Linked DNA regions of Oreochromis niloticus. The protein of the gene in region 2 interacts with the protein of the main gene of each other region in a biochemical or structural test. Links are inferred from orthologs where the notes say so. Each region holds a gene or a part of one and is shown on either strand. Other genes may lie near its edges.

Region 1 (15,741 bases), on a different chromosome or scaffold from region 2:
GGATGAAGACACCAGCACGAGTAAATTAAAGCTTCAGATGCTGAACAACTGAATGCACGCTTACTGAGCCTTGAATTGATTTTAACAAGTGTGCAATGGGTTCTTCATCACAACACACACCTCCGAAGAACCTTGAAGATGTTGGCAGGCTTTGAGGTTGAATCTGCCCAAGTGAACAACAGATCATGGGCAATGGAGTGAATTGTGTACCTCCAGGGCAGCACATTCACCACTTCTACTGACATGTACTGGGTCTATCAGACTGGCTGCTGGCTGCCATTCAATAGCAATAAAACTCCACCTTAGACTGCACACGCCACAACTAGTTATGAGGCTGATAACTGCGTAAGTATGCAAATGCTACTACTTAACAATCCTGTAGAATGATCTCTTAATGTGTTAGGTTATTATATGAAATTGATAAGACAAATGCACCGCTACATTTAAATTAGGAAAATTTGCAAAAGTTTACATTTCTGCTAAGTTCATCATTTCTGTTACATACATTTTGCATGGGAGATGGATTTCTCTGGTAATAAAAATGGCTGTGTACGCATTCTGGATCTCCACACACCTAATTGTTTGATGTACAGCATGTGCATTAAAAGATAACTTTTCTTTGGAGGTAAAGGCTGGTAGAAACGACAGAGTGAATCATACCAATCTTTGAAGGGAAAAGCGTCTCATCATCCAGCTGGTCTTGCACCCAGGTCATGAGGTAATCAATATACTTGGGAGCAGAGCATTTGATGGGCTTCTTGATGTTGGTTCCATCAGCCCAGTGGTACTCATACCTACAGGAAATAAAGATGAAAAACACACTTTGAGCACATTTATACCAAGAGGAATTTTTGGCTCACTCAAAAGAGAAGGAAGAAAATCCCGAGTGTTATAACAAAAGCTTAATTGAGCATAATGAATATTCATGTTTTTCAAATTCTCAGAAATAGGAGAAAAATGATTTATGTGAAGGCTTTGTGCTTTTGCATAGCATCTGATGAACACATAATCATGTGTTTTGTTTGTTAATAGGTGGATCTTTAAAGGTAAACTTCTGTATATTAAATGAAAGGTCTGTTATTGTGTGATTGTTTTATTAGTCCAGCCCAGCTGAGATCAAACTGGGCTGCATGTGGATCAGTAACTACAAGCACTAATCATGCTCTTGTGAGAGTATTCCCAAGCAGGAGGCCCATTCTGAGCAAGGAAAACCCCTGTTATGGTCTCCATCTGGGCTTATTCAACACTGATGTAATCAATTGTAAAGCAAAGTGGTATTTCTCAATAAGCAGATAATATACAAGTCGTCCTGGTATGAGTAAGGGCTCATGCTAGTAACCAAACATTTTCTAATAGGCGTTTTTTCCTTTGTAGAAGTAAATCTAACTTTTTATCAGCACATAAAAGACATCTGCTGCAAATCTACACAGTGAGACAGCAGGAGGGCAAAACAAAAAGATCTACGTCACAGGGTGTTTACAATTATGAAGACAAGTCCATTTTCCAAATCCTGACCCTGCTCAGTCTCATCATACAACAAAGACTGGAGAATAGCCAGTGGGCTAGTTTTATGAGTTTTAATCACTTACTTAGGACCAGCAGACATTACTGGACAGCTTTCCTCAGTGCAAAAATCTGTGATGGTGCCATACAGCATGTTGATCTGGTTGAAGAAATCCACAGCTGGAAAAATGCGAAAAAAAGAAAACTATTAAAATGGTGTTTATGCAGCTTGTTTTCATTCCTGGTGCATCACACACTCCTGTGTTAGTGATTTGCAGAAGGCTTCATTTCACCTCTGCTCTGTAGTTATGTAGTTATGGTAATAGTGAACTAACCACTCACTTGTCCACACTAAACACACTTGATACCCCTAAATATAATTTTCAGTGTCTAAACTTAACCAGCATGTAACAGTTGGAGGCAAAAGACTGAAAACAGAGCAAAACACAAAACCCCCACTTGGTCAAACAGTGTGGGGACTACCTTGGTGTTAAGACACAGGCCATGTCCACACTCATATGTTTTCGCTTGAAAACGCATCTTTTTCTCTCCATTTTGGCCTTCCGTCCACACTGAGACGGCATTTGCGGTCAAGGAAAATGCAGCGTTTTGAAAACGCTCTCCAAAGCGGATACATTTGAAAATGCTGTTTTAGCGCCGCAGTGTGGACAACAAACCCAGAGCCTTTTCGAAAACGATGACACATTTTAGTCATGTGATGCAGTTATGTGACCAATTAAACTAAGATAGCGGAGGGCATTATACAGCAGTTGTTTTGATTAATATCAGTTTGTACATGCTCCAGATAGCTTTTCTTCAAATTCTTTCATTCTCACTCGCTTTTGCAACTTTGTACTTTTGTGTTACTCGCAGCAACAACTCCATCTCATTGTTAGTCCATTTAAAAAACTTTGCTTTTCCTCGACATTTTGCCGCGACGTTTCAAAGAGCCAGAAAGCAAATAAACGGCAGACAGAAATGAGGCAGGTCGAATCCTCTTGCGTTGCAAATACCAAAGGACACTTTCACACCTCTTTCAGCAATGTTTGTACTACTCCCCCCTTTCATTACTTTTAACACTATATTCTTCTGTTCCCACAATGTTTCCAGCCTTTAGGTGATGGTACTATTAGTATTAATATTATTTTTTGGGTGGAAAAATTTGCAGGAATAGTTATAAATTGGGCACCAATAGCGCGTCAGTGAAAAGGGTTACTTGAGGACATTTCTAATTCTGCAAGGACAATATTAGCTAACAGAAAGGCAGTTTCTGGCCCTGGAGATGAAAAAGTGTTGCTATATGACACCAACTGTAGTGTTTGCCAGCACCAATTGCTGGCATCAGATTACCCCACAGCACTGTGCCTGTCCCTATTTCACCGCCCAGGCCAAACTGTAGACCAGTGCACAGTCCAGTTATCTGGCACAAACTGTGCTACCACTCATTCCCAGGGGCATACAGCCAACTTTGGCTTTCCATCAGTTGGGGAGATCCATTTTAAGCACTGGCAGCATTTGAGTTGAGAGTGTAACTTAAAAATCTCATTGAAAAACAAAACTAAACAAAACAAACATACTGTCCAGTTGTCATGGCATGTGGTTTGTCAGGTTCACTTTGAGATTCCTTTAAAAACAAGAATCTGTCCAATCATAGTTGATAGAATATTTTTGTATGCTGTTAAACAAAGACAAAAGATCAAATTACTGTTTATGCCACCAAACATACTGATGTGATTACAGTCTAGAAATGAATATTCCAGTGAGAGAAAGCAGAATTATCTTAATGATAGAAAACAGACTGAAAATTCAGAAGCCAAAATCCAAACAGTCTGGGGAATACCTGATGCTAAGCTCTAATTGATGAACCTTACAAACCCTTTTTCTTTTTTCATTCATAAAGCTAATAAGAACCCTAAAATAATGTAACAGTCAGTGATAAAAAAACCCCCCATCTCTTCCTGTGGTCCTTTATTTTCCAGTAATCCTGTTTCACCCTCTTTATTTTCGCTCTGCATTGCTTCATTGTGTCACAATGAAGCAGTTTGAGGGGGGAAATCCTAGCAAAGATTTCAATGTAATGCTTGGGTGAGGCAAAACTGCATTGCATTTCCTCGTCCCACTTGAAGACTCAATAAAGACAACTTCACTGTCAACTCATTTCTCCATGCATGGTTCCACTTTTAGGGCTAATGTGGAGAGTTGCTGTTGCAAAAGTTTGACCAACATTAGCGCTTTTCTGTCCACGTTGTTGTTACTCACTGTTCCGCTTATGCTTGGAAAAGGTCTCAAAAGGATCCTAAAAATCCATTTGTAAGTGAGGTCACTGGAGAAGAGAGTGTACTGATGGGTATCCAGCTAGACAATTGGTTAAGATGCCTGTCAGATTACTACCCCAAGTTCAGTTGTACCTGGAGACCTTTGCTGCATGCCCGTAACTTCTCCCTCTACTGTCACTATCCATCCATTCATCCATCTGGGGTAGAACAGCTGTCACAGGACTGTGTTGCAATCCAGTACAAGCAAAACAATCTTAAAAACATGAAGTGGACTGCTTCTCGTGAACACAGATCATGTGAAAAGTCATTTGTACTTGGTGGTGGGAGAAGTGATTGCTCACAGCACTTTTATTCTGACTTCCCTTCATTGTGCAAGTTGTAACAGCTTGTGCAATACTAGCCAACCTTGCTTCTAACCTCTGAATCTGGAGAGCACAAATATCAGACGAGTGCAGCAGCGGTGGCAATTCTTAGACGCAGTTAACAAAGCTAGAAATTGGGCACGCCCAAAAATGTTTTGTTAACAAAGCGTCTGACAGACAATCACGCGTTAAAAGGCTGGGCTAGTGATCGTCTCCAACCCTGAAGGCTTTTTGACGCATGAGGAATTAAGCATCCACTGACCATTTGTTTCCTTTTAGAGGAAAGTAAACAAGGCGCTCACAGCGCAGACAATAAAGTCTATTTAACATTCACGGTAGCTGCTCTGGCATGAATGCACGTGGCCTTTGGAAGCAATGCCAAAGACAGCCTGACAGTTCGCTCTCAACCAACTCATGATTTGGACTAATTAAGTGTCAGAAACAAGACTTAAGAGATATAAAAACAAATTTTAAAGTGTGCCGAGCCCCTTTAGCCAGGAATCTAAACCTAAAATAAAAGCGTGTATCAAGAGAGAAGAAAAATAAATAAAACTCAGTGCTTACTGTTGACTGCGACCCACTCATTTAAGTCTTCACCCTCAGGCAACATGACTGCCATGCGCAGGTTTCCACTCCCCAGAGTAGCCTCTGCATGTTTCAGCAGCTCATACTGATGAGAACCCTCCGGGATGTTCTTCTTGGGCTTGAATGTTTTGGATGAACGATTTCCACTGTGTGAGTCACACATAAAACAGGAAGACAAAAAGTAGAATAAATCAAAAGACAGAAAGATATGATGAGAAATCATGAGGTCACCAAACACTAATGTGAGGTGACTTTTAAAACAAAAAGTTATGACTTTGTTAAAGAGATGTCAAAGGGAGCTCAAGTTTGGTTTGGGTTTAGCAGAATGTAAGTGGGTGTGCGTGAACAGTGTGGCCTCTCTCTGTATAATGAGGCTATTTGTAGAGGTACTGTATTCAGCTGATCTCACTGCCCCATTAAACAAGAATTTGTGAGTTCTCACAGTATGGTGGGTTGGACACACAAAATAAATGTTTAATTGGAGAATCCGTTAATGGCGAGATCAGATCCAAAATATCCTGTAGCATTTCTATAGTGTTTCTGTAATTCAAAATAAGTATCTGCTATTATCAGTATATTGTTGTTCTTCATCAACTACTTCCTTCTAGCCTACCCATATATATCAAGTACACAAAAAGAAATATTACAATAACAAATCTAGACCTCATCTTCTTCAATCTAACTACATACTGTCACAGTAGGTGTGTCTGATGTTTCTCAGCTTAACTGAAACAAACATTATTTTAATCGCTGGCTAATATCGACGTCATATTGTGGTGTTACTTTGATGAAACAGCTGCGTTTAGCGGTAGCAGGGCTGTGTTAGATTAGCCGGTGGCATCCAAGTGTTTATACCAGCAAATATCCAAGCCACAATCAAAACCCTCCATCTCTGTTGAGGCAATTTGTCAATGGATCTGTTCTAAGCAGGTGAAATTTCTCATTTGGTCAACTGTAACCACTAGCCTTAAAGTACTGATGAATATGCGATTAGTATTGATGACAGTTTTTAAAATGAAAGCTACAGAAAGCAATGCGAATTACACAGAGCAGTCCGAGGTACATCCAGGAAGTAGTCTAAGCCGTTGAAACGCTACGGCTAGCTAACTTTCTAGCTGTTGCAGCAAAGCTGGCATTTTCCAAACACGAAGCTAAATGGCAAGACAAAATACGCGTGTATCGAACGGTTGTAACTCACAAAAGAAAGCTCATGTTTCCTCAGGTCGCCGAAAAAATTCCCTTCTTGGCAAACAGATAATAAAAGCAGAGTAAAGGCAGCCCAAAAGGATTGCCAAAAACTCTAAAGCTTCACACTTCCTCGGTTCTTCTCTGGCTTAGTTGTGCGGTCCTTGTTAAACATCCGAAATAAATATTAATGTAACAGAAATAACTACCCACTAATTTAAAAAGGGGAGAAACAAATGTATTTTATACACAGAGCGATCCACTAGCTGCTGTACGCTGGGAGGCAGCAGCGTACTGACTGCAATACTCACTTCTTCATCTAACCTTGAAGGCAGAGCAGACGCAGCTCTACTGTGTGCTGCCATCTAGTGTAGCAAATGGGTTAGAACTACTGTTCTTTCCTTCGAATAGGAACATTTTAAGCAAAAACGTTGGCTACGTTTTATATATTATATTGAAAAATAAAGTATATATATTTTTATTTTTATTTTTAATGTTTTTTTTAAATTATTCATTCACTGATATTTTATAATAGCCTAGGCTACATGTTTCTGTTTTTTACTGCGATTCAAAAATGCCAATTTAAGTGGTGCTGCTTGCTAAGTTAAAATTACAGGGTAAATGCTGCTGAATTTGTTCGATAAAAAATATAGCCCGAAGATGGAGCTGTTTTCTTGAAATATAAAATGGAAAATTTCATAGCCAATGTCACGAGCTGTGCTGCCTTCATTTCTGTTGGAAATATAAGAGAAGCTTTGGCATTTCCCAGATTTTTCAGTATATTTTTCCTCTTGCAGCTTCTCCTTACCTTCTCTGAACAAAGGACAAACCCATTTTGTCTTCAATAAAAAGACTAAATAGATATATCTAAACATGTTTGGCCAGAGTCCTTCTAGATATCCTCCTACTGTAAATAAGCATCTTTTGTTTGATTATTTGGCTTAAAATAAAACTTGTCGCGCACTAGGACCCGCCAGCTCGGTGTCAGCTGACGATGCAGCCAGTTATATGCAACGCCAGACCGTAGCCCGAAGCTTTTTTCAGCTTGTTGGGAGAAATCGGGTCCACTCTCCGTGTCAGGCCCATGTCTGAAAACCCAGACAGACGGTCACATTTCAGCAGAAAGTCAACTGCACAGGTCGGCAAAGAAGAAACGGGTAAAAGCTTTTTTTAAAAAAAATCCGAAATTACTTCGCCTCGTAGGGAGACAGCATTAGTTCGATGACAAGTCCTCTGTGTGAGCTTATGTTATTTCTTTATCCGCAGCAGCAAGATGGAGTGTGAGTGGAAACCAGACGAGCAAGGACTTCAACAAATTTTACAGCTGCTGAAGGAGTCTCAGTCGCCTGATACGTCCACACAGAGATCCGTCCAGCAAGTATCCTTTTGTCTTGAGCCGGATATGGATGATAACTTATCTGTTATAATCTGTTAGTGGTTTAATAACAAAACAGACTCAACAGGCTAACGACAGCTAATACTAGCCGGGGTGGTTACGGTTACAAGCAGGTACGCTCGTGCCTTTTTTGTCTCACTTGCACGCGCTGCAAACGGAACAGGTCGTGCTAACATCATCTGACATTAAAAGTGCCATAAATTATCTTGCTTGGTTAATACAAGCAACGGTAAAGCTTGTAATTGCTCCTCCTATATACCTTCCCTTTTCATATTGCTTCTGCAGAACATCACAATAAAACATATTTAAAGCCCCGGTATATCATCTGCAACTTGATAAAGCTAAGGTTACCGGAGACATGCTGATGTTAATAATTTAAGTAGACATCAGAATTAGATATAATGATGTAAAGGTGATGGTGTTAATGGTGACAGAAAAGCCCCCCCCCCCCCCCCCCAACATCTGTCCGTGCCTTGCATGTATCATGGTATGTAAAGCACGAAATTGCTGGATTTTACTAGTGCAACAGCACTAGTAAAATCTCCTATTCTAAAACAGAAGTTTAATGGAGTGGATGGCTGGGTTAAACCTGGAATAAGACGCCATGGTTATTCAAGCTTTTTCGCTGTGACACTTTATTCTATGTCACTTTTCCAAAGGATGCCAGGGATTATCAAACAAACCCGTATTAAGGTGACCTCTTCCGGCTAGATTAAATGGCAAGGACTAAAGTGTAGGTTTAACATGTAAGTGCATTATTAGCTTTCCTCTGTAGCTCATGCACTGTATTGTCAGCTGCAACTGTGCTCCAGTGTTGTGTGCATGTGACTGCCTGCTTTTACATTGGAGAGCAATTATCATCTGCCTCTCCGTGCTGCTGGGCCTTATGGTTTTGTCTGGTTTCATGCTGATCCTTAATAATTTTCTTATGTAACCCTTCATATGGACTGTCTCATTAACTCATAGACTAGCTGCTGTTATAGCCCTAAAGATGCCATCTGCCAGTACAGTCATGCCAAATGACACATTTATGACCCCCTTACAAGCGTACACCCAGTCCACTCACACACACTGACATACACTCACATCATTATGCTGTTACATTACACCACTCCTCTTCTTTATATGAGGAGGAGGGGAAAAAAAATCTGTTTTTGGCTTTATTGTTATTATAAAATTACAGAATGCAGTGGTGATGTCCTAGCAGCCTTTTAACATGCTCTTCGAACATTTGTAACCCTTAATCATTTCTCTCAGAGACTTGAGCAGCTGAATCAGTATCCAGACTTTAACAACTATTTGATATTTGTTTTGACAAAGTTAAAATCGGAAGGTAAGCTGTCCACCCTTCTCCTTCGCTCTGTCATTTTGTTGTGTCTGTGGTGTGTTCCTAGATTATCTAATGGCACCCGGGCAGCACGGGTGAATGTCAGAGCTGTCGTTTTTATGTAACTGCTCATTGACAGGTTAGTCCGGCCGCGACTCGGGTGACCTGATGGCATGTTTGCTGCAAATGATGTGCCACACAGAATATGGGTCACTCTAATTTTAAAGCTAAATCCTGGCACTGCTCAACTTTTGGCTTGACTGTTCCGCACAGCAGATGACCCAAATGTTAAGTGGTGTTAAGACCTTTTCGGTTGCATGACTACCTTACCCTAGATGCAACAAGTCACAAGTGTTTAAAGAAAATTAGCAGAATTTATTTAATTTATTACTTACGCATTTTAAGCAAACAGTAAAATAGATTCTGTCCACATTGTCAGTATAAATGTCTGAACATAATTTCTGTAATGCTCTGCTTGCGAAAAATGAAAGGGAAGCAATTTTCACATTTCCTCCCTTGGCCTTTTCTCTCCCAAGATGAACCGACCCGGTCCTTGAGTGGACTGATACTGAAGAACAATGTGAAAGCTCACTATCAGAACTTCCCTAATGGCGTGTCTGATTTCATCAAGAGTGAGTGCCTCCAAAACATCGGAGATTCATCTCCTCTTATTCGGGCCACTGTTGGTAAGTCTCATCCTCTCGGTCTTCTGATTGTAATGTCGCCCTTAGCATCCATGCATAGCTTTTATGTTTAAATGTTTTCTTTTGTTATCTACGTTGCATTGTTGTACCTGTAAATAACTTCCTTATTTGCTTAAACTACATGCTGACATATTGAACCTACAGGTCAATATATTGGGAACATAATCAGCATTTGGAGACAAAGCAGGGAAATAAATAACAATGAATATTTACACAACAGTTTATTATTGGTTGTGATGGTTGTATATTATTTACACTAATTAAACCGGTGAAACTGTTTTGGGATAGCAGCTAATTTATTTTCTTATTTTTAGGGATATGATTATGTTTTTAGTATGAAATTAATCTGCTTTTCTGTGTTGTTTATATTTCTTTATTTATCCAGTGGTCAGAAATCTATGAAAAAATCCCTAGAAATAAACAGCCCTACTCCTGCAGGGCGTAACCCTAACCCTCTCTCCATTCTTAACCCCTCCCACCAAATTAGCATGGACGCATAGACTTGCTGTCAAAAGCGTGCTATTGCTGACTTTTGACTTCAGGGACTCAAAGTTTGCTCTCCCAGATTTTCACCCCTGCTCGCCTAATCTGGCCTAACGGACCTGTAACTGGCTCAGATTGTAAAGCCTGAAAACAGAGCGCAGTGATCTCTCAGACCTTGTCAGTTGCAATATGATTGAAGGCTACTGTGAAATTCTTTTTAATCTATTTCTTTTTAATCCAGTGAGAGCAAAACCCTACCCTGGCTTTAAATGCCTCTAAATAGTCTTTCTTAACTCAGTGGGCTACTGTATCAGAATGTTAAAGGCCAGCTTTTAAATGCTGGTTTGCTCCCAAGCGTTCCCTGCTATTATTGCAGAATCCTGATATTTACATTTGCATAATTAGGAGTCGTCCAGCTGTTTAAGCTAACTTGAAGCTATTTATTTGCTGCATTTCTGTTGCTTCTGTTCACATGGATTATAAACAGAAGTGCTTTATAATATTAAATGTCTGCGTTTCATTATGTCCTGTGCATGTTATTGGATTTTGGTTTAATCATCTAACAGAGCCCCCTCTGATAACAGGTATCCTCATCACTACAATTGCCTCCAAGGGAGAGCTACAAAATTGGCCTGAGCTGTTACCCAAACTCTGCCTGCTGCTGGATTCTGAGGATTACAACACATGTGAAGTGAGGACAAACAAATCAGAAGCTTATAAATTAATTTCTTTTAGTCACTAAGCTGATGTTTTCTGGTGGCGTCACAAATGTGTTGATATGGGTGAAAGATGTGAAAACTATTTCTTAAGGGTTTTACAGATGATGTTTCCTGTAATAATCCACTAACACCGTGTTTCCACAGAAATTTATGTACTAATCCAATTACAACTGAGCAAGCTATACTTAACCAGGAAATCACTTAGATCAGTTCAACAGCTCTTAAAAATCTAAAGTTATCTTGTAACAGACTACATCATACAAATACAAGGTGACTCTAAAATCTTCTGCCGTAATCAAAAATATGAGATTGATTTTAATAAAATGTCTTCTGACAAAACTGACTTGGTTAAGATGGACCCAAATGTTGCAGCTGAGTAGCCATGATGTATTCATGTTTCAGTCACTCTGTAGCACATAAATAGTGCTCCACAGGAAAGTGTCAAAATTCAACATTTCATTACTAAAAAAAATCCCCAAAAGTACAACAGTACCGAACCAGCTTAAAGAATCCAACATGAAATGTAATGGGCTCAGCATTAATATGGCAGCAGCTATTACTTTGCTTGATATGGACATGACGCTAAAGTCATTTTGTAATATTATCATCTGCCAACGACTCCGATTTCTTCCTCTTTAATTACTGTGCTTTCAACTCATCAGAAGTTTAACAAAAGCATGTGTGTGAGTGTGAGAATGAGAGGCAGCTTTTTGCCATGGCTGTGTTGGGGATGGGTGGGGAGTGCTGAGATTAAGCGTGCACACATTTCTGACTGTATATTACAGCCCATGTGTGCTGTAATAAAGCATGTTTCCCTGTCTGGGCACACAGACAGTTGTGCGTGTACTGTTTATTTGTTTATTAATTAATTTATTGTGGAAAGAAAAGCTGGCTCGGCTATAAAGCAGCATCTGGATAGTATCCTGCTGGCCAGATGAGCTAAAGACATTCTCACAGCTGGAGCAGCCGCTGCAGACTACAGATTATTCAGCTCTGACTCATTTATTCTCTCTTTTTTGATCATCATCCAAATATGCTTTGATTTTCAAACCACCAACATGCTGTTGGGTCATATTTCATCTTTACAGGCCACCATGATCCACTCTTTGTTTTTTAATATCTTAAATTTTTCTGTGCTCGTTCTTCTAAATGCTCCATTGCAGCAGCCACGAAAATGACAGCACAGTCATTTGTTGTGGCTGTTAGATCATCTGATTTGTGTAACCATACTCAGGCTCGCATAAACTCCCAGGTCATTAGTATTCTGTCAGCTGGACTTGTTCATGACATCAGAATTAATAAATTAAATGGCATGTTGAAGTGTCGTGGTAAATTCAGCTGTGTCATAGGGCAATTAAAATACATGGTGACAGGATTATTACTTGTCAATGTGATTTGAAGTAATTTAAGGAATAGGTGTGACATAAAAAAATAAATCTCTGTGTAGCACCGCTGCCAGCCTCTCTTGTAAAGCTTGCTCAGAAGCTAAGATTTAGGTCAGGTAGTTGCTGCAGACCATCTTGAAGTGTATGTGTGCGTGAAAGAGGCTTAACACTCAAGCAACCAAATGTAGAAACTCCTTATAAGACCAGCTATGTTTTCGAAAAGAAGCTTGAGGGTTGGAAAGCTTCTTAATGTTTCTTGTTAAAAATGGTCAAGTTGCTGCACTGTGAATAACTAGGAAGCAAACAAATAGTCATTACTATATCTCTTTCCTCCAAAAGCACAACATTTGATGGCCTCCCCTCTAACCTTAATGATGACTTTTGACACCTCAGTATATATCAATGAAGATGTGGTTTGACAACCATTAGAATAGTTTCCAGGTTTTTCCAAGTTTAGCTGCATCAGCAGAGACCATCCCCACCAACTTCTAATGCACAGTTATTTTACATTTTATATAAGCAGGCCTGAAATATGATACAAACTGCTCAATTCAGAAAATGGCTTGTAGGCTTTCAAGAGGTAAAGAGATATTACATTAGTGTGGGTATTGACTTTGAATTTCACATTTGGTGCCTCTCTTTTTCCTTTTTGTTTTGTCATGTATGGTGGAGGCCCATATTTAATTCAGCCAAAGTTTGACATGAAAACCTCAGTGTAGCCAGTCAGAAGAGATGCTGTCATACATATGTCAGGATGTCAGTGGGGCAGTTTGAGCTCTTGTTGGCAGAGTTGAGACCACATTTGAAGATCATTTCAGAGAACCGTGGCCCAGACCAGCATCGAGCTGTGTGTCTGAGGTAAAATTGGATTATTTTACTATTTCGACATCGTTGTATATTTAGTTTAGTGCACTGTTTTTTTTAACTACGAATGCAGTTGTTTCTAAATTAATTGCTCTGATTGGTCAGATCTGTTTATTTCCATAGAAAATATATGAAAAATCAAGCTTGATTCAGGGGGGAAATGAAGGTTTAAAATTTGTCTGCGATATTACGCAGTCGGTGTGAAGGGCTGCATGTAAAAATAGGCAAGTCCAAAAAATATTAACACACTAAATATTTGCCCGAATTGTATACATCTGGTGTGTAAAGAGTTTTAGTGTGAAATAGATGGGGACTATTGGGAAAAGTGAATCAGCTAGTCTAGAGTCCAAGATTTAAATATTGAGCTGAAATTGAGTAAATTAGTACACGTAGTCAGTTTTTCTTATTGTTGTCGCTGATGTTGATGTTGTTGTTGTAGTATCTGGCAGCTTCTTCGTTTTAGAAGAGAGCTGTTTCTACTCTTGATTTGCCATATAGAACTGAGCATTCACTGCCTTCCCAAAATAATGTACTATTTCTATCAGCATGACTTTGATATCTATTTTGGGAATATATTTAGTGACTGCCAGTGTTCAGTTTCCGATCTGTAATCTACACTTTGAGAAACGTGTAAATGCATGTTGGCCTTGGGCCATTTGATCAATATATGTTGTGCATTTACAGTATCTGTGCAAGATGATCCTCGTGACTCTCCCAGTGAATCATCCTCCCTCTGATTGCTCAACAGTCCCACGCTGAGACATAATGTCTGCTGACGCTGTGTATAAAGACAAGCTTCTGTACGTGGTGAAACTGCAGCATGCAGTTTTTAGCTTTAAATCCTCTGTTCTCAAGTAATGATGTCACTGCTTTTTTTTTTTTTTTTTTCTTTCATTTAAGCTTAGTGTGCACATAACATAACGCAGGAAAATCAAAACAGACGTCCATTTTGGTAACACAAGGAACTGCTGCCCTACCAGTGAGTCCTGCCTTGTTTGTGGTTTAAGACGAGTGGTTGCTGGAAGAGCTCCTCGTGTCACCACGCTGTGCCCTTCTCTACATGCTCTATATAAAGAAACAAGCAGGTGTGTCGGATGCCAAGTTTAATGCTGGTGGACAGCTTAATATAGGTTATGCCTGTGTTTTTGATTAATGGAGGTTGACAAGTGGCTATAACGGTGTTCATGCCACTCGAAGGGGAAAACGATCACCTATGATAATGCTCTGCTACCTCAGCGCTCATTTGTGCCATTATTCACATTTCAAGGACAGGATTCTGAAGGAGCCTCTTAGTCGACTACGTGTGTATTATTATTTTTTCTTCTTTGCCCTGGCTCACAGTCATCTACGTGACTTGCATTCTCACAGTGAACGACCTTCAGTAGCAGGACTTGAAAGGAAGATTACACTTTAGATGCTTGTATATCATTGAAACGCTTGCAGGCCACTCCCATTCCTTTGCACTTCCCTCTTGACACACACAAATGCCTGTATTATGTTTTGACGTCACTGTGTGCAGTGCTGGAGCGCAGTTGTGCGTAATATGAAACATTTGTTTGGGTTCCCACGCAGGTTTGCAACCAGCAATTGCGTTATCAGTTAATCTGGTCATTATTCTTGATTTAGTCGTGATGGGTGTTAACATATCATGCCTTGCCAACATTTAAACCCCAGTGATCTTGAGTAAATATGGATAGCAGGAAAAAAGGAACACATCTTTCTTCTAAATAGCTCATTAGTAACCCAGTCATGTTTTTCAACATTAAGATAAATCTGACATTTTTGGGGCTGTCATGAGATTTTTATATCATGACTCGCTTATATGACATCTGTTTAGTTTTTTTTTTTTTTTTTTTTTTTTTGTTTGCTTGTATTCCCAATTCATAGTTTAAACAGCAGCATGTCTTATACACTTAAAGGAACACTTAAATTTCCACTGCTGCCACTGTTGATTACCTGCTGGCATCAAGATTCAGTCTGATGAAAGAAAAGACTTTTTTTTTCGCCTTCATAAATGCCCTTTGTCCCGTCTTGTTTGTGACCTTGATTTAACCTTAGCCTCCTCATCTTGTGTCACCCCTGCGGTTCTGAGCATATTTTTCCCCTCCTTTTTATTGTTTTTTCTTGTGGAGATGGCTCTGTATCTGTCCTCTAAAAGGAATGCCGACATGGGAGTGGTTTCCATGGAAACACATTGCAGACAGCGTTGGTGTCAGTGCTGTGCCGTTTCTTGTATCTGCCTCTCAGGCTGCTTTTTTTTTTTTTCTTCTTCTTCTTTTTTATGCGAGAGAGACTGAAGTCTGCAGCATATCGTGAGCATGCATACTAACCATCTGTCAAGCAGCTTATATTAAGTGTGTGCGTGTGTGTGACTGCTTTCCAACTGTTTGAAGGTTATTAGAGCAGAAGTGGATGAGTCCTGTTGAACATCATGGATGAGAAGGTGGAATGTATTATTTAGTGCTTTCACTGTGCAAATACTAGCACTATGATCCTCCATGACTCATATGTTACAGAGCTTATACGCAATATGTGGATTTATAGAACCAGGGTGATTTTGTTTCGGGCTTGGGTTTAAATCTGCATGATTTTAACATGATTATAGTGTACTATGAGGAAAATTTATTTATTTTTATATTTTTCCTTGATGCAAATATGTCTCTTTTGCTTGAGTAAAAGAAATTCCAATCAACAACACCAGAGGATATTTTTGTTTGGGGTTAACTAAAACTCTTTTTGAGGACTGCCCCTGTATGTAGGGGGTGGGGGGGACTAGCATAGACACACAGAATAGCGTGGCGTATAAGCATCACTCTGAAAACATTCTTAGAAATACAAATTCAAAAAGACAAACCACTTTGACTTTGATCTGCATGTATTGTTTATTAAATACATTTGTGATTAAATTGCAAAGTATTTTCATTTCTCTCTCGACTAACCGTCACTGAGTGG
Region 2 (15,828 bases):
ATCACCTTAATGAACATTTCCTCCAGGCTTGTAGTTTAGAACATACTCGCCAATGAAAATATGGATCCTGTTGGGCATCCAACCAAGGAACCTAAAACCTGACTTGCTCACTTCACAAAGTTTCTGTAAACATCATGGACTCAGTTGTGGAGTGAGATTTTCTCTACAGACCACTGTAGCCTTGTGGGGTATTAGTTATTTTAGTAGTTCCTGAGAAGGAACTACTAAATTTAGGTTTAAGATACAAACACACACCCAATGTCACACTTTCATGACATCAACAATTGCCGTGTGAATTATGTAAGGAATTAGCAGCAACCTCAAACAACCCAAAAGATAAGGTGCATCTGTTTAAATGTGCTGAGATGCCTGCAGTTCAGAACTCCGTGCATTAGGAGGTGGACACCTTTAGGATATGTTCTAGTCAGGACCCAAGATATACACATTTTATAATCTTCAATATTTTTTTTGTCAAGAAACGAAAATAATAAAGGAAACTCTTATAATAACATTTTTTCAGACCTTTGAGGTCCATATTGTATGATCAAGCCTAATAGTTTTCAGCTGGAGTCCAGGTGTCTGTCTTCTGTCCTCAGCCAAAACATGGAATCTGATGTGTTACCAAAAACTAAGATGTCACATGAATATTTCAAGACAATTAAACAAACCTGATGGGTTTGGTTTCTCAAAACTAGAAACAAAACGGACAACAAAAAAATGTAGCAGCTAATAAGTTAGGTAAGAAGGATTAGCCAAATGTGCAGCCTTACACCATAACAATTATCACAGTATAGTTACAAAACTAACATTAGCGGACCAGTGAAATAGATAAGAGACGAACAGACAGGTGAATTGCTGTGCCCAGTTTAACTCTAATGTATCACACATTGAAACAAAATACAGAGCAAAGGGTCCCGCTATCAGCAAATACCTGACATACAGGGGATGTTTGGCTGTGATAAGCTGAAATTGATTTGGCTGCATGGGGAATTCTCCCAACTCTTTTCCCTTCACATGTTGTGTATGGGCTTGAGTGGCGCATTCTTCACATACCGTGCTCAATCACAGGGCTCATCCTCAAACTCTTTAACTACACATGTAGCAAATCTTAACTGGACTCACTGTATTTTGTGATGATGCGCTGTGATGTAATCATCTGGCTTAATCCCCCCAAAGCTCATCTTTCTCTTTCCAAAGAAATCTTTAAAATTTAAAATAAAAATATGTCTAAAAAATAAGAAGCTTTACTGAGTGACTTGGTTGAAAAAGCTTGACTGGACTCCTCACTTCCCATGGAAACACTCTCTCCTCATCCCGACCAGACTTTTGATGGAGTACTTGCATTTCTTAAGTGGGACAGAGCCCATTTAGGAAATCCACCTGGTATTTCAACATTCAGCCCAGTGTTACATAACCGAAGCACTATACACTTGGCTAAGCAGACTGTGCGTTGTATTTTATCTAAGAGCACAAAGCATCCCTGAAAGCTTCCTCTAGAAATTCCTGACTGACAGAAAAAAGTGGGTTTGAACATCTAAGTCAACTGGGAATGGCGGGAACCGACACTAATGACACCAATGACACCAATGACTAACATATTCAAAACTGTTTAAGGGAGTCTTGTGATTGTTTCACAAATTTAGCACATTTATTCAACCAATACATCTAGTCTTGAGAGGATCATAGATTCAGGTAAAACTGAAGTTATTTCGCTATGACTTGGGGGGGGGGGGGTTGATAAAAAACAAATCCAGCTGAATTCTAGTAACTTAATGTCACCTTAAAGCAGTCTGATTTACAACTCTGCTTGCAATTTATTAAAAATTGTACTGATACTAAACAGTTTATTAAGGTAAGACAATTGCACGACAGAATCACCCATCTGTTCCCATAACAAGACCATATACTGCCGCTGGAAACACTCCCTATCTCTAAAACTCACCTTGTCACAACCAGCGTTCACCAACTCCTGCAGCATCTGCCGGTTTACCTCCCCAGCGCCTGCTGGGTGTCCTGATCCGGAGGTTGAGCCGGACTCAAAGGGCTTGAGGGACTTGCGGATTTCCCGCAGCGCATTCTGGTAGTTGTTGAACTTCTGCGGGGGTCTGAGCTGCTGCTGTCGGCTGGTTGTGTCTTTCCCGCTCTTGGAGTCTGCCCCTTTGCCTCCCTCATTCCTGGAGCTACTGCCATGTAAAGCCTGGCTCACCAGCTTGGCCGGCTGCTTCAGGCCCTCCTTGATCTCTTGAAGCCTCTGCCGTGTGTTTCCCACATACGGGGCTGCGGGGAAAGTCTTGGGCCTCATGGCCACAGTGCCCAGGGCAGGCACCTACTCTAAAAAGGGAAACACGCACACACAAGCACACACTCACACACACAAACTGGCACTCGCTGCCCTACAACCCTCCAAAAGATTCCCTTCAAGCTTGCTGACCTAAATAGATAAAAAGCCTCCAAGAGCACAGATTGGAGGCACAGGTTTTATGATCCCTACTCTATGTCCCTAATTTTTTTCTATCTCGCTTTCTGCTTTTGATTCCTGCTCCCGCTGCGGTGGATGAAGGTGAGGCAGGAATACTATAGGCATTACATGGTGTGATTTTCAAGGCTCAGGTTCCAGCTTATTCCAGGAAATGCAGCTGGTCACAAGGGCATCGTGGAGCCAAACGATGATGATGCCAATCTGCGCCTGTGGGTGGAGAAATGAAGTTAGAGCATGAAGACTGGGCTTCCATATCCCATTCAATTTTATCTAGATTTTCTAAAAATAAAAGCACATACAGTAAAAAACTGTCAACAACTTTAGAAACATGTGAGATCACAAGATACCACACAAAAGTAAGATGTTCTGCACCAATATAAAGTGAAGTAATCCTCATGGACCCGGTTAGACCTTTTGGAGGTCAAATTGACGATCAGCACTGCATATGTACTCTCACATACTTTTATGCATAATCCAGGAATGCTAGAGGTCAAAAAACACCACCTGCACCCCATCAATGCATAGCTATGATTGCACAATTCAGCCCCTGTCAACGCATGTCTCTGATACTTGGTCATCGGTAAACACCCATCTGAGAGCACGGAACCCCAGCATGGGGTCAACACAAATGTCCGACCCTCCCTGCATCAGCGCCTCTGCCTTTTATGCTCCTCTGTGATCTGACATATGACACTGTCTGACAATCTTATCTAGAAGAACATCCTCCGCAAGAAGGTTACTCCGCCAGTGCAGATGGGCTTTCTGTCCGGAGCCTCAACTTTACAAGCTTCTCATCTAATCACAAATACTGTATAATAGCACAGTAGACCTGACTTGGATCATATTAAAGAGGTCAAGACCATTTGGCAATACTAGATTTGATTAATATGATACTTATGTCTCACATTAGTCAATTTATGAACCGTGTCAGTTGAGTTAACAGCTTATATATCAAATCAAACCGTTAAAAGTTAATGAACTTGAATGTGTTTGTCTCGGTCTTTCTTTTCTTTTGGTTCCACTTGAGTAAATCTCGCCTTACTTGGCATAGCATTACCTCTGCAGAGGAGAGACCCTGAAGCTGACAGGCAGCTGGGTTTCCTGTCTAACTGAGAAGCTCACAGGCTTCAAATAGTTTTACAGAAGTAATGCCAGGTCTCCAGATACCAATCTCACCAGCACTGAAAAACTGCTAGATACAATCCTCTTCTGGCAGGTTTCAACATGGCTGTGGTTTTAAACTCATGTCTGCAATTCCAACCATTTTGTGAAGCAATCATCTTTCAATTGATTGGGTTCTATTTCAAAAAGTCTTCTTGGCAGGTATTGAATTACACCTGACAATTATCCTAAAAAGGAAAAATTACTTATGGGCAATTTTCCTCTTTGCCTAAATAAAATAGCTATTTTGTCTATGAGAACATTTTCTGTACTTGATCTACACAGACATGAAGAGAAGCTGCAGATAACCTTCCTGTCTATATGCATAAACAAGGAATGAGTTATGTTCACCGCATGCTTACGTATTAACAAATACCTAAGGGCTTTCATTATATAACGTACAGCATGATGGATTGAGGAAAAAAAAAAAAAGCGACTTTCTGCAGCAGTCTGACCAAGACCAGTGATTATTTCTCCTCCCACAGACCAAGGAGATCAGCAGGTCATCGTACTATTACAGTCAACAGACACGGACACAGAGCAGAACGTGTCACTGTTGGTGAGTTATTATGAGCTCGTAACAACATTACATCACAAGAAGAGCTGCTGTTTGTGTGCTTTCTAAATGTGAATCATTATGCTAGCCGCACAACTACTTCAAATTTAACAAAAAAAGGGCGACAAAATTGCTTTTTATTCTGACGGACAAATCAGTGACATCATAATTCTACCCTCAAATTTAAGCATAGACAGAGTTTAGGTGCGAATCGCCAGACATCCTACAATACTTACTTATTTGGTTTGAGTATTGCAGTAACATATACAATGATTTATCATCTTTTTTCAAATTCAATTATGTCCTCCAAGTTAAATGTTGTCAATATGGTTTTTATCCAGTAAGATGAAAAGTTATCAAAATTAGTTATTACTATTATTATTATATATTTGTGTTTTTTAAAACCAGCCACAGAATGTAAAACAACCCACAATTACCAGGCGGCCACCTATTTTTGTTTATGTTTTTTAATTTTATTTTGTAGATTCAAGAAGGTTACATCCTATTTTTACTCATGACTGAGTCATGTGTTTGTTCTCAATTAGCAGATAGCAGATAGCTAAGTATGTCCAGTATCGGATTTTTGGAGTTTTCTGGTTGAGCTGATTTACTACAAGTTTCCCCGGCTGATGTTATCTGAGGATCGCGGTAGTATTCCCAGAGCATCCCCCCCCAGTTTGGCATACATCTTTTTTAACAACCTAGAATGTTTTATTTAATGTCTAAAAGTAGTCAGTTGAGCATTGGGTGGATTCTAATTTTTTCCTCCTCAAAAACCATTAACATTTGTCTCTGAGATATCATGACCACAACTTTTTTTTGTACTTACTATAGCTGCCAACAGAGATCTTTAAAAGCAGCTACAAATATACCAAATTAAACATCCAGATGTTTCCATCAATTTCAAATGTGCCACAGCTTTGATTCACTGATAAAGTAATATAGTCTGAAAACTTTGAAGTGATGGTGATGCAACATACTGAATTCTTACACTATCCCAGAGACTCCCGTGTGTCTGTGCGGAGGTACAAAAGAATACCTTCAAAAGAAAACACGCCAAAACTAAAATTTACAAGTCAAGTTTTGGTCTTAGGCAATGCCAAACAGAATCCACCCAGTGCTGTGATATTCTATATTTAGATAATTAAAAATACATTCTTAACAATATTATCTTAATCTTATATCCCTCAGCGCTACTACCAAGCAGCTGCAGAGGAAAAAGCTTCCAAACATAAAAAGCTCTTGAACTGCATCCCCAATCTCCTCCTTCTCCTGCTCCTCCTCTCTAGCAGTCTCCATCCCTTTGGGCCATTTCAGGAGGACACAGCCTTCACTGTTTGTACAGATTAAACTTTGCATAGACAAAAACATGCTTTTTCTTTTTACACTGCTGGGTGGTGGGGTAACATGGGGCCAAGCTCCATAAATGTTGCCCCATCTCCGGGATCTCTTGCCTCCATTCCTGCGATGCTTCAGGCGCCGTGTCCAAGCAATGAGCATTCCATTCCACAAGTAAGTACAAGTAAAATACCGCAGCTCAATCACGGGGCAGTACGCTGACCAAAATAACCCAAAACACAAACTACACGGACAGTATCTGTCTATAACTACAAATCTGCAAGAAAAAAAAAGACATGACTCTGCCCAAAACAATGCTCTACACATAACCACCCCCATCACTGAACCTTACTCCTTCTTTGACCTAACCCTAAACCTAAGATGACTTAAACTTCATGCTACACCAACAGGTACTGAGGAAAACTAGTGAAATAACCTGCGACATAAATATTTTTTCATCAATTCCTCAAATATCCACTTTAACAAAACAGACCACTGACAATGTTCTAATCTCTTTTTGGTAAAATAACTTTTTTTGACTTTTTGACTTTTAATGGCACATGTGACACTTTAAACGCATGTTTCTCTTCGTGGACATGTGTTGTTCATAACAAACTTTAGCACACTATACCACAGCTTTGTTTTCGGTCTCACCAAAAACAAAGCTGCCCACTGTGATGCTAAATTGGGAAAGCATGCATTCTGCAACATTGAACCCCACAGAATACTGAGCAACGCGAGCAGCTGGCAGGTTAATACTAATAAGATTGCCTCTAACCTGCCTGAAGGATCTGAGAGAATGTGGACGGTCATATCTCTGCTGTGTTTGGGAAATTGCGAAGCAAGAGGAGGCGGAGGTGGAGGAAAGAACACAACTTCCTAATGGGCAAAGCTGGCCAACAACTAAGCTTTGGGTGGAGTAAGACAGGGGGTAGAGGTGGGTGGGACCAACTCAGTTAATGTTGCAGGACACATCACAAATGTGCAGGCAGAGACAACAGTTGATGGAAACTGGCTGCAGCTGTGAGAGTGCAAGTGTGTGTGTATAAGAGGGAAACAATTTGGCTCTTTCTGTGTGTATCTGATGCACTGCAGCTCAACCCCAAAATCAAACCGATATGTTTTCCCTGTAGCCTTTGGAGTCATCTACCCATCTAGATTGTTTTTGTGTGCATGTAGCCCACTTTTTTACATTTGTCCCTTTAAAACAAATATGGTAGTAGTAATAACATGTAATAATCCCTGCATGCTTCTTACAATCCACTGTGTTGACAACATCACCACCAAAGCATCTGTTTGTATCCCAGTGGTTCCTCTTTGACAGATACCTCTGACGTGCATGACACCACACTGCCGCGCCACCCTAGTCTGAGTGAAACTGGTGTGATTGTTTGAAAATGTGACCCCCCGCCCCCGCTACAGGACAGACTGGCAGGAGCATCAAGCGTCCCTTTAAAACATGTGACTTTGGTTTGCATCACCCAGGTCTGCTGTCACTGCTGAACTAATCAAAGCGCTGAACTGTCTTGACAGACAGAAGTGTGTCAAGCAGAAAGAAAGAGAGTGGGTGAGTGTGTTTTGGGGATAGTAATGCGGTACAGTACACCTGAATGAAACGCACTGTTGCATCAGTGCCAAACTATGCAGGGCCTGAGAGAAGTGAAAATGATAGATTCAAATCAGATGACTCCATTTTCATTTTCAGATACAATATTAAAAAAATATTCTGACCTGTTACGAACTATTTTATTTAGCTCAGTTCTTATTAACTACAAATCTGTTCACTCACTTTAAACAGTGAAATTAATGCAGGATCTTCTGACTAACAGCATCTACAAAGCATAGCTTCTGTTACTGTTAGTGGTCCTCAGAGGAGGCACAAGTTAGGATGCCCAAATAAGATGGACTTTAAATGTACACAAATAAACAAACATTTAAATATAGACTAAACCCTTAAATTGAATTCCCACATTTGCACCAAAGCTTTAAAACTAGTACACAGTGATATTTGTATGGGCATAAAGGTCCGGAAAGCCCTGTTTTAAAGCGCTGGGGCCTTCTCAGCAATATCCCAGGCTTGAGTTGGGGGCTGAGAGCAGCAACACATTCCAATGCAGGGAGAGAAAAAAATGGAGGCAGTCCTGTAAGCTCCAAAGAGGCTCAAACTTACAGAAACTTCCATTTCGTTTTCCATAAGCCTCGCTGTATAACACACCCATAACGGAACGTTTTGCTCAGCAACAAGTCGTGGAAATAAGTCACACCACCACCACTCCCCTCCCAAAAAAAGCAACTCTCAACTTACCATGTGATAGAAGTGGCGAGAAAAACTCAATATGAAGAGAATAAATTCCGTTAAACGGCAACTTTTTTTTTCTTTAAAGAGTCCGGTTCTCGGTTGTTGAGCGCGTACACCTAGCTCAGTGGGTAAATATGATGAAATGAGCCTCCATTTTCTCCCCAGACTCCAGGCAGGATCAGAACTTCAGCACAAAGTTGGACACTCGCTGCATTGTTAACATTCCTCAGGTCACGTGACGGACCAATGCACGTCAGCGGACCTGAAGATCGTCTATTAGGCGAGTGCCGTTCACTCCGTTCACGTTGTTTTAGCTAGGAGCTGTTACCGTTTGCGAACAAATTAAACTTAAAAATGTTTTTGCGTATTCGGCGTCGTACAAATCTCTTTTTGTTGAAGTGCATCAGTAAGTTTTACTTTTGATTTTAAAGACGAGTTAAGTATAGAAACAGAACTGCGGGGTTCTAGTTTACGCTGTAGTGCAATAGCGAGTAGTGACGAGCTGTCGTTTTCACCGCTGCAGTAACTGCAAAAAGCAACGGAGTGAGACGTCTTGATTTCCTTCCTCTGAAATATTCACAGGCGGAGCTTCCTCCAAGCATTTTTCCCTTTGATAAATAAAGTATATCTGCACATTACATTACTCAGTCACCCCTCTCCGGCCTTGGAAATAGTCTTCACCAATGACTCAGTGTGAAAGCAAATAAAAAGTTATAATAATGTCAGTTATCACAGGACAACACAGACCTTCAATATTTTACACGTACACACAGAAAAACATAACGGCGACTCTTGGGTAGTGTGTAAGCTGATGCAATTCCACAACTTTATTTTTTCAGTCACAGGAGCTATATTAAAAGAGAAACTAAACAGGAAACCTTCAGGAGTTTACACATCATGGAAGCACATGCGTCCGTAACAATAATGTCAAACAGCAATGTAGTGTGAGAAAAACATGAGTTTATGAACTTCTTTCATACATGTCAACCTAGAAGCTCTTATTTTAGAGCAGGAAAAACATCAAATAGGAAGTATTGACTTTGTTCTTATGCATGTAAGAACTAAATACAGACAGAATAAACCAACAGTCATTTCACAAAGCCTTTTAACTACTATTAATACTGGTATTTGGCCTTGCTTGATAACAGTCCTCCAGCGGCACTCACTACTTTAGGAACGGCCAAACACCGTTTAAACCAGACTGTAAGACTATTTTAATCAGTCAAAAAAGGGGGCTTTTCGCTCCCTCCATAAAAGAGCAAGCAAGGTCTGCAGATACAGTCTACTCAGTCAAAGACTTGATTTAAAAAAAAAAGGAAGCATGTGTTCATCCAAAGTACATGCACTGCTGAAGAAATATATCAACCCATAGTACTGCTAATTAACTTGATTTTTATAGTTTGTTTAGAGCATCAGCAGTGCCAAACACCATGGCTAATTGAAGGGGGGAAAAGCAGGCAAGTGGACTAAATATTGTGGCTAGATGTCCTTATGGAAGCCCCAGAGCAATACACAGTCAACCAAAACATGACCACTCAGAAAAGACAGACCCATCTGTTGTCTGGGATACCCAGGGGTCTGAGAACAGAAGGCACATTCTGAACCTAACACCGATTATGAAGCATCACCTGTTTAAGCCCAGCACCTGAACTTAAGTGTAGTCTTTGTTATTGGAGCATTCCCAATTCATTTTTGGGCCCTGAGCCAATTGTATTGTAGCCCCTCAAACCAATTACCTTAGGAGAAAACATATGTATAAGTGTAGTGACTTTAGATTAGTTTTGGCAGAAAGTTGAGCACACAAGAATGATGTACCTTAAAAACAAACAAACAACAAAACAATAGGAACACACATTTAGACCTTGTTGACTACAGATGCTGACTCATCATGCACATCTGGCTTAGGGACCAAACCAGGAAAAAGTTCAAAGAATAGTGCATGATGTCAAAATAAATATCTGTAGAAAATATGGGCTGATCTGGAACAGCTTTACAAACTAAGGCACCAGCAAAGCAGCACTACTAAAATATGTAATTCAATATTCAGAGCGGGTTTTCTTCAAATGAAAAAAAAAATGCAGATATACTGTATATCAGTATAAACTTTCCAGTTGGTGTGTCTACATTACTGAAAGGTCAAACCCTTTAAAAAGATCAAAATTTCAGTTGCTGGGTAACCTTTCTGGAAATAACCCGCAGCCTTGTACCATAACTACTGCTGTGGCTCGTGCTCATGGACCAAAGCCTGTCACAGTCTCCCACCGGAGAGGACAAACCAGTGAGAATGAATCCACATGTTAAATGTAGCTGATGTACTCATCTAACAATGTGTTTCTTCAGGCTCAACAGCATGTCAGCATCTGTCACAATAATGTTTACTTCTTCACCAGCACAAAAGATGATTCTTTTTGTATTAAATAACGAGCTTTAACTACTTTGGGGAAATTAACAATTACCTAAACACGTGGCTCAGTAAAAATGGACATCATTGTTAATTACTGTATACAGCTCAAGCTGAAGTCTGATTTTCTGTTCATCATCATCATTACTATTATTGTTATTGTCTAAACCTGCAAAACAAGCAAATCCCTGCTGATGAAGACATTGAAGACATCTGCCATTCCAAGATGTGCTTGAATTGCCAACTTGTAGCTAATCATCGCAGCTGACTGTACTCTTGCTATAAAAAGTACCTGGCTTACAAAAATGTGACTATGCCAAAAAAAAAGATGAGTTTAGAACCAGTACTCCTTCACAAACCACAGGACACTTCTGTCCCTGCACCCCGAACTGGGAGGAGACACCGGGGCCGAGGAGGTGTACTACTTTGTCTGGCATTTCTGTTATTTTAACCTCTTTCTATGCATATTCCTATGTGCACGCTTCCTGATTTAGATGCAGGGAAGCAACAAAAAACTAAATAAAAATTAAAAAAGGTTAAGCAACATGCCACTTCTCTGCAGCAGATCGATGTAATCTGGTAACTACAGTCAGGGATGGGAAAGACACACTTAACAGTCAGAGATGTGGGATCAGTGGAAACGCATCACCCAAACTGCAGTGTGTATACTTCAGCATTTACAAATAGCTAATCAAGACAGATTTCATGAGGGTTTTACTCACAGTTTTCACCCAAAGCCTAAACAAAATAAATTCTTGCAAGTCGGCCATTCTTTGTGAGAGGAGGTGCATAACTTCATGACATTACATCTCAGAAATGTGGTTTCTGTATTTGGAGAAATGGTCCTATTGCTAAGTATAAACTGACCCAGATCACAAGGAGTGACATAGATTGAAAGTTAGGATTATAGTGGAAAAGTATAAATCTATTTGCTGTAGTCATGATGTAGTGTCGACACATAGACACAGAGGGACAGCAAGAAGTGCAGTCCAAAGCAGTAAAGGGAACTGAAGAGCCTGATCAGCATTAAAGGAGCACGAGGAGTTTGTCTACACATCACTCTAGTGGAGCAGCAGAGATGCACAGGTTGTTTAAGGCACAGGCAACTTGCACAATCTTATCAAAGGTTGAGAGGTTCGACGTGCGCTCAGAGGCTGCGGTGAAGGCGCTCTCGACAGGGCCCGTGAGCATGGCGTACCGCTGCTTTACCATGGAGATCACCCTCTCCACATGCCTCTGCACGCTCAATGTCTCGGAGGAAGGATCAGCCAGCAATGAGCCCTCTGTTCTCCCATATGCTTCTCCCTGGTAGCTGCCAGCAATTTTAAACAAGGCTCCACGTGCTGCCACAGAGTCTCCGATGTCCAGGTCACGGCTTGCCAGTACGACATCGCCCGGGAGAAGCTTGCACAAAAATCCACAACCCTCAGCCAGGCTCTTGTCACTGACGTTTCCCAGCACACCCCTAGAGACAAAAGTGACCACGCCTTGCGGAGCCACGCCAATCAGATACTTAAACACGTTATAACTTGACCCCGCCCCCTGAGAGACCGGGTCCTCGAAAGGCACGGTGAAACAGTCTATGATGACGGCGCAGTCAGGATGAGAGGCTCGCAGCGCGGCTGGCAGGTTTTTACGGAGCTCAGCTCTGGAGGGCCAAAAGACAGCCGTTGGCACCAGAGTAGAGGACATGATGTTGACCATCCGGTGAACTGTTCTGGTTACTGTGCCGACTTTCACGCCAAAGCGGTAAGCCAAGTCCTGATTGCGGAGGTCCAGGCGGAGACGCATTAGTGTCAGCAGCAGCTGCTGGAACTTGGAGAGCTTCACGTTTTTCATTCCATCCATGTGAGGTGCCAGCAGCCACATGACTGTCTCTAAGACAAAGTAGTTGGGTAAACCAGTGTAAAACTTCACTTTCTCCGCATCATTCCTTAAGGAGTTCTCTGAGAGAGACATTTTCTCCACAGACTCCCTGAGGGCCTGATTCTCCCTCTTCAGGGCTTTCAGGATGTCATCAAAGTTCACCGGGACATCAGATGTCTGAGCAAACTTTCCTTTCTTGCTGTCACTCACAGACTGATCATCATTATCATCATCATCATCATCGTCGTCATCGTCGTCGTCGTCATCATCATCATCTTCTTCAGTGCTGAGGGAGGAGGAGGCACTCTCCTCTGCAGTGGTCTCCTGTTCCTTCACCTCAGGATGCTCTTCCTGGCCCTGTTCATCCACCGCAGACATGCCCTGGCCCTGGAGGAACAGCAAGGCATTGGCTGCCTCCACCCGTGCTTCCTGTTTGTCCAAGATCTCTAAAGCACCCGGCTCCTTCATCTCTGGGCATAAGGGAGCAGCCGTGAACACAGAAGGAACATAATCCGGAGAACGTGGATTCTTCACCTGTTTACCTGCATGTGAAAAAAAAGAAAAAAGAATCTGATTAAAATTCATCTGTTTATGATACTTGTGATTTAGAGTGCTCTCTCATTTTGCAGCGTGCAATACATAAAATAACAAACAGTTGCTGTTGTTCAGTCAGTACATCCCTAATGAATTTTTCTTCTACAAACAAAATTTAAGCATGAAAAACCTTGCACATAAAAAGACTGCACACACCAGACAATAAAAACAAAACACAAACCGAGCATTAAAATAGCACGTAGCATTAGCGACATCTACTTTCATATATTTAGTAAACGGAACTTATAACACTATCCCAACTGAATTAATTGCAGTAATGTCACACTTTATTTCCATCTCAACTTAGTTTCGTATAGCTTTAAAAAAAAAAAAAAAAAAAAAAAAAAATATTCAAAGGCTTACAACTACAAACACCGCCTTTTTCCAGTAATTTTAATCAGTAAGGGTTTTTACTATGTGATAGTGAACATAAACGTGTTTATTACCCGCTGCAGTTACACCGACTATGCCGCTGTCCCTCCTGAATTCATACAACCTTTCAACGCAACACTGCACTGACAGCAAAAAAACTAAAAAGAAGCCTCCTTGGTTTTCTAGACATGATTGTCTACGTGGAAGCCCAGCAACATCAGTGCGAACTGGTTTACTTAAAAAACAACAACAAAAAACCCCCCACAGGGAGACACTTTTAGGGTTCAGAGTGGTTTTGCCTTCATACCTGAAATGAAGTGAGTACTACAGAGCCGACTGCCGTCGTTCGGCACCCAGCCCTCTCGGTTCACAGCAGCTATCCAGCGCTGCTTCCTCTCGGGGTCCCGTGGGAAACGGTAGAAAGATAAGGTGGTGCCTGGTGTCCTTCTGTTCCTGCAGCCTGCCACCACACAGGTGTGAACCATAGTAAGGCCACGGAGAAGCGTGGAGGTGTGCGCTGCAGTTTGCTGGGTGTTTTGACTCCCAAAATGGTGGCCTACCAGAGGGCGACAAAAAAACTGTAGTTCCGTCATCAACGGCCGTTAACTTTCGTCACTCTGATTGGACAGTCTCGGGACGACGTCATTGAAGTGCGATCTTCACTCACGCCGAGAAGCATAAACGCTAATGTCCCGTAATCACACAAATTTTGTTCCAAATGGTTAATTTTCTCTTTTTTAATTTTCGAGAAGGAAAACCCAAACAACAACAACTGGAAACAACCACAGACAGTACAAAGCAGATGCAATATACCTGTAGCTTATTAGATCCCTCTGCGTTAATCAGCTCTGAAACTGGAGTACAGTACTTGCCTTTCATCCACAGCACACAACTGTGATACAGAGGCTTATTTCAATACAAGTGTGTTTAGACTGCACAAAGATAAAACTCACTAGTTATATTTGAAAAGCCAATTACCAATTTGTTAAAGATCAAGATAGTAGTAGTCACATGTAACACATCACAGCAATGAGCAATAAAAGTTCAGGATTTTCTGATTAACAGTCTCATTTGCTATTTTATTTAACTTTATACAAATGGGTAAGCACAATTAAAAGTGAGCTGTGATAAATGGATAAACCATCTATAGTTTGACAATACATATTCATGTGGCTGAATTATTAACACCCATTGGTCACTGCAAGTCATGTGTTATACTCCCGCTGCAGAAGACTGAGCTTGCTGCTGATAAAAGTCTTTAATCTAACATTGTCTAAATATATATCTTTATGTATTATACGAATCTGTACTACTTGTCTAAACAGCCAGTTTCCATATTATTGCATACAACCATGGAAATGCAAATTATTGACTCACAGGTCCATGTACTATTTACAATCAAAACAAAAACCATATACAATATAAAGGATAGCTGCTTTCTCTGATTGAGTTCATTTGTTGGGACTCTTCTCATAATGTATGTTTTTCTTTGCTGTTTGACTTGATAGATAATCTTTGCCTGCAGCTTAAGTGCTTAACATCTCTGTAGCTTTCATGAGTCCAAATTAGATTTGCGCCAAAGGATGGACAACCTTTAGATGTGTGTGATCAGTCTGTACACAGAGGTGTTCCGGTCTCCTCTCACATGCTTCAGCCTCTTGAGCTCTGTGAGACAGAGGATGTATACAGGAGCCTTGGTTCCGACACTGATGATCTTCTTCAGCTTCTCCATCTGAAACTCTGTTGTTTCTCCTGCAGAGGGCGCCACAGAAAAGGGACAGATTAGAGAAACGAGAGCTTGTTCGCATCATGATTTGCTGGGATACCGCTAAAATAACAAACACACCATGTCAGTAAAAATCTGGCTTTTTGAAATGTTTCGGGAGCTTAAACTGGAGGAAATTTATTTAGTATATAATTACAATGATGTAATTGATGATGGTAATTTTGTAGCTGAAACTACACTGAAGCCAGATCAATGTTAAACTGATGAAACCAGGCAAAGAAACAAACTGACTGTTCTGCTAACAATAAAGATGAACAGCCTGGTGCTGGTAGCAAATGTCCTTAAACAGTTTAACCAAGAGATCTGCAATCAGAGAAATAACAACAAACATCGCTTGTTTACTTTCCAAATATCATACTGTTATCTTGAGCACTGAGTATAAACAATTATCTGTAGGCACAACAGTGGATACAGCCATTATATGACTGTGTGTACTTTGAGAAAATGATGTAGATCTATTCAGCTGGGACCTAATATGCCCATTTCCAGCTTGACATGTTTATTTTTGGACTACATTAAGTTAACTTTGCATGATTCACAGCTTTAAATAACTGTTTATCTGAATGTGGCCCTTTGTGCAGCCCCCACAGTTCATCCAGTGAAAGGAGCAGTTTTAGCTTCCCTCCTTCACCACCATCCTTCCCAAGGCCACTTCCTTTTAAGCCAACTTTCTTCTCATGGGATGCTCCTCACAAACAGAGCTGTGCGCCTTAGATGAGCAGATAAAAGATATTTTCTTATGAGAAAAACACAAGTGAAAAGACAGCATTTCCAGCAGTTTGAAACCTGAGCGTTTGGGCTTATAGGGACCACAAACATCATTTGAAACTCTGATCATGTTTAAAGTGAGCATCTACTATTGTAAGAGTATGTGACAGGAAAATATGAAAACGGGATAGGCTTGGTCGGATATAGATATTATATGTGATGTCCCTACCCTTTGATTTTAAAAATGGGACAAATCCTCGGATTTCAG

Evidence for each region.
Region 1: the proteins of lats2 (region 2) and MOB kinase activator 1B form a complex in vitro, tested with the Homo sapiens proteins (2 studies listed by BioGRID). The link is inferred for Oreochromis niloticus from reciprocal best matches to the Homo sapiens genes LATS2 and MOB1B.

What each region holds. Positions count from the first base shown.
Region 1 is NC_031972.2:13,999,821-14,015,561, forward strand, and holds the start of MOB kinase activator 1B, read right to left. Parts: upstream 6,228-15,741; 5' UTR 5,939-6,227; coding exon 5,925-5,938; intron 4,873-5,924; coding exon 4,706-4,872; intron 1,684-4,705; coding exon 1,590-1,683; intron 795-1,589; coding exon 661-794; intron 1-660. Other genes in the region: tnpo1 (transportin-1), read left to right, coding at 7,185-7,289, 8,565-8,640, 9,171-9,320, 10,406-10,512. UniProt on the Homo sapiens protein: Activator of LATS1/2 in the Hippo signaling pathway which plays a pivotal role in organ size control and tumor suppression by restricting proliferation and promoting apoptosis.
Region 2 is NC_031987.2:27,633,849-27,649,676, forward strand, and holds the start of lats2 (serine/threonine-protein kinase LATS2), read right to left. Parts: upstream 8,069-15,828; 5' UTR 7,840-8,068; intron 2,687-7,839; 5' UTR 2,303-2,686; coding exon 1,943-2,302; intron 1-1,942. Other genes in the region: uncharacterized protein LOC102075830, read right to left, coding at 11,291-12,642, 13,374-13,659; ska3 (SKA complex subunit 3), read right to left, coding at 14,661-14,818. UniProt on the Homo sapiens protein: Negative regulator of YAP1 in the Hippo signaling pathway that plays a pivotal role in organ size control and tumor suppression by restricting proliferation and promoting apoptosis.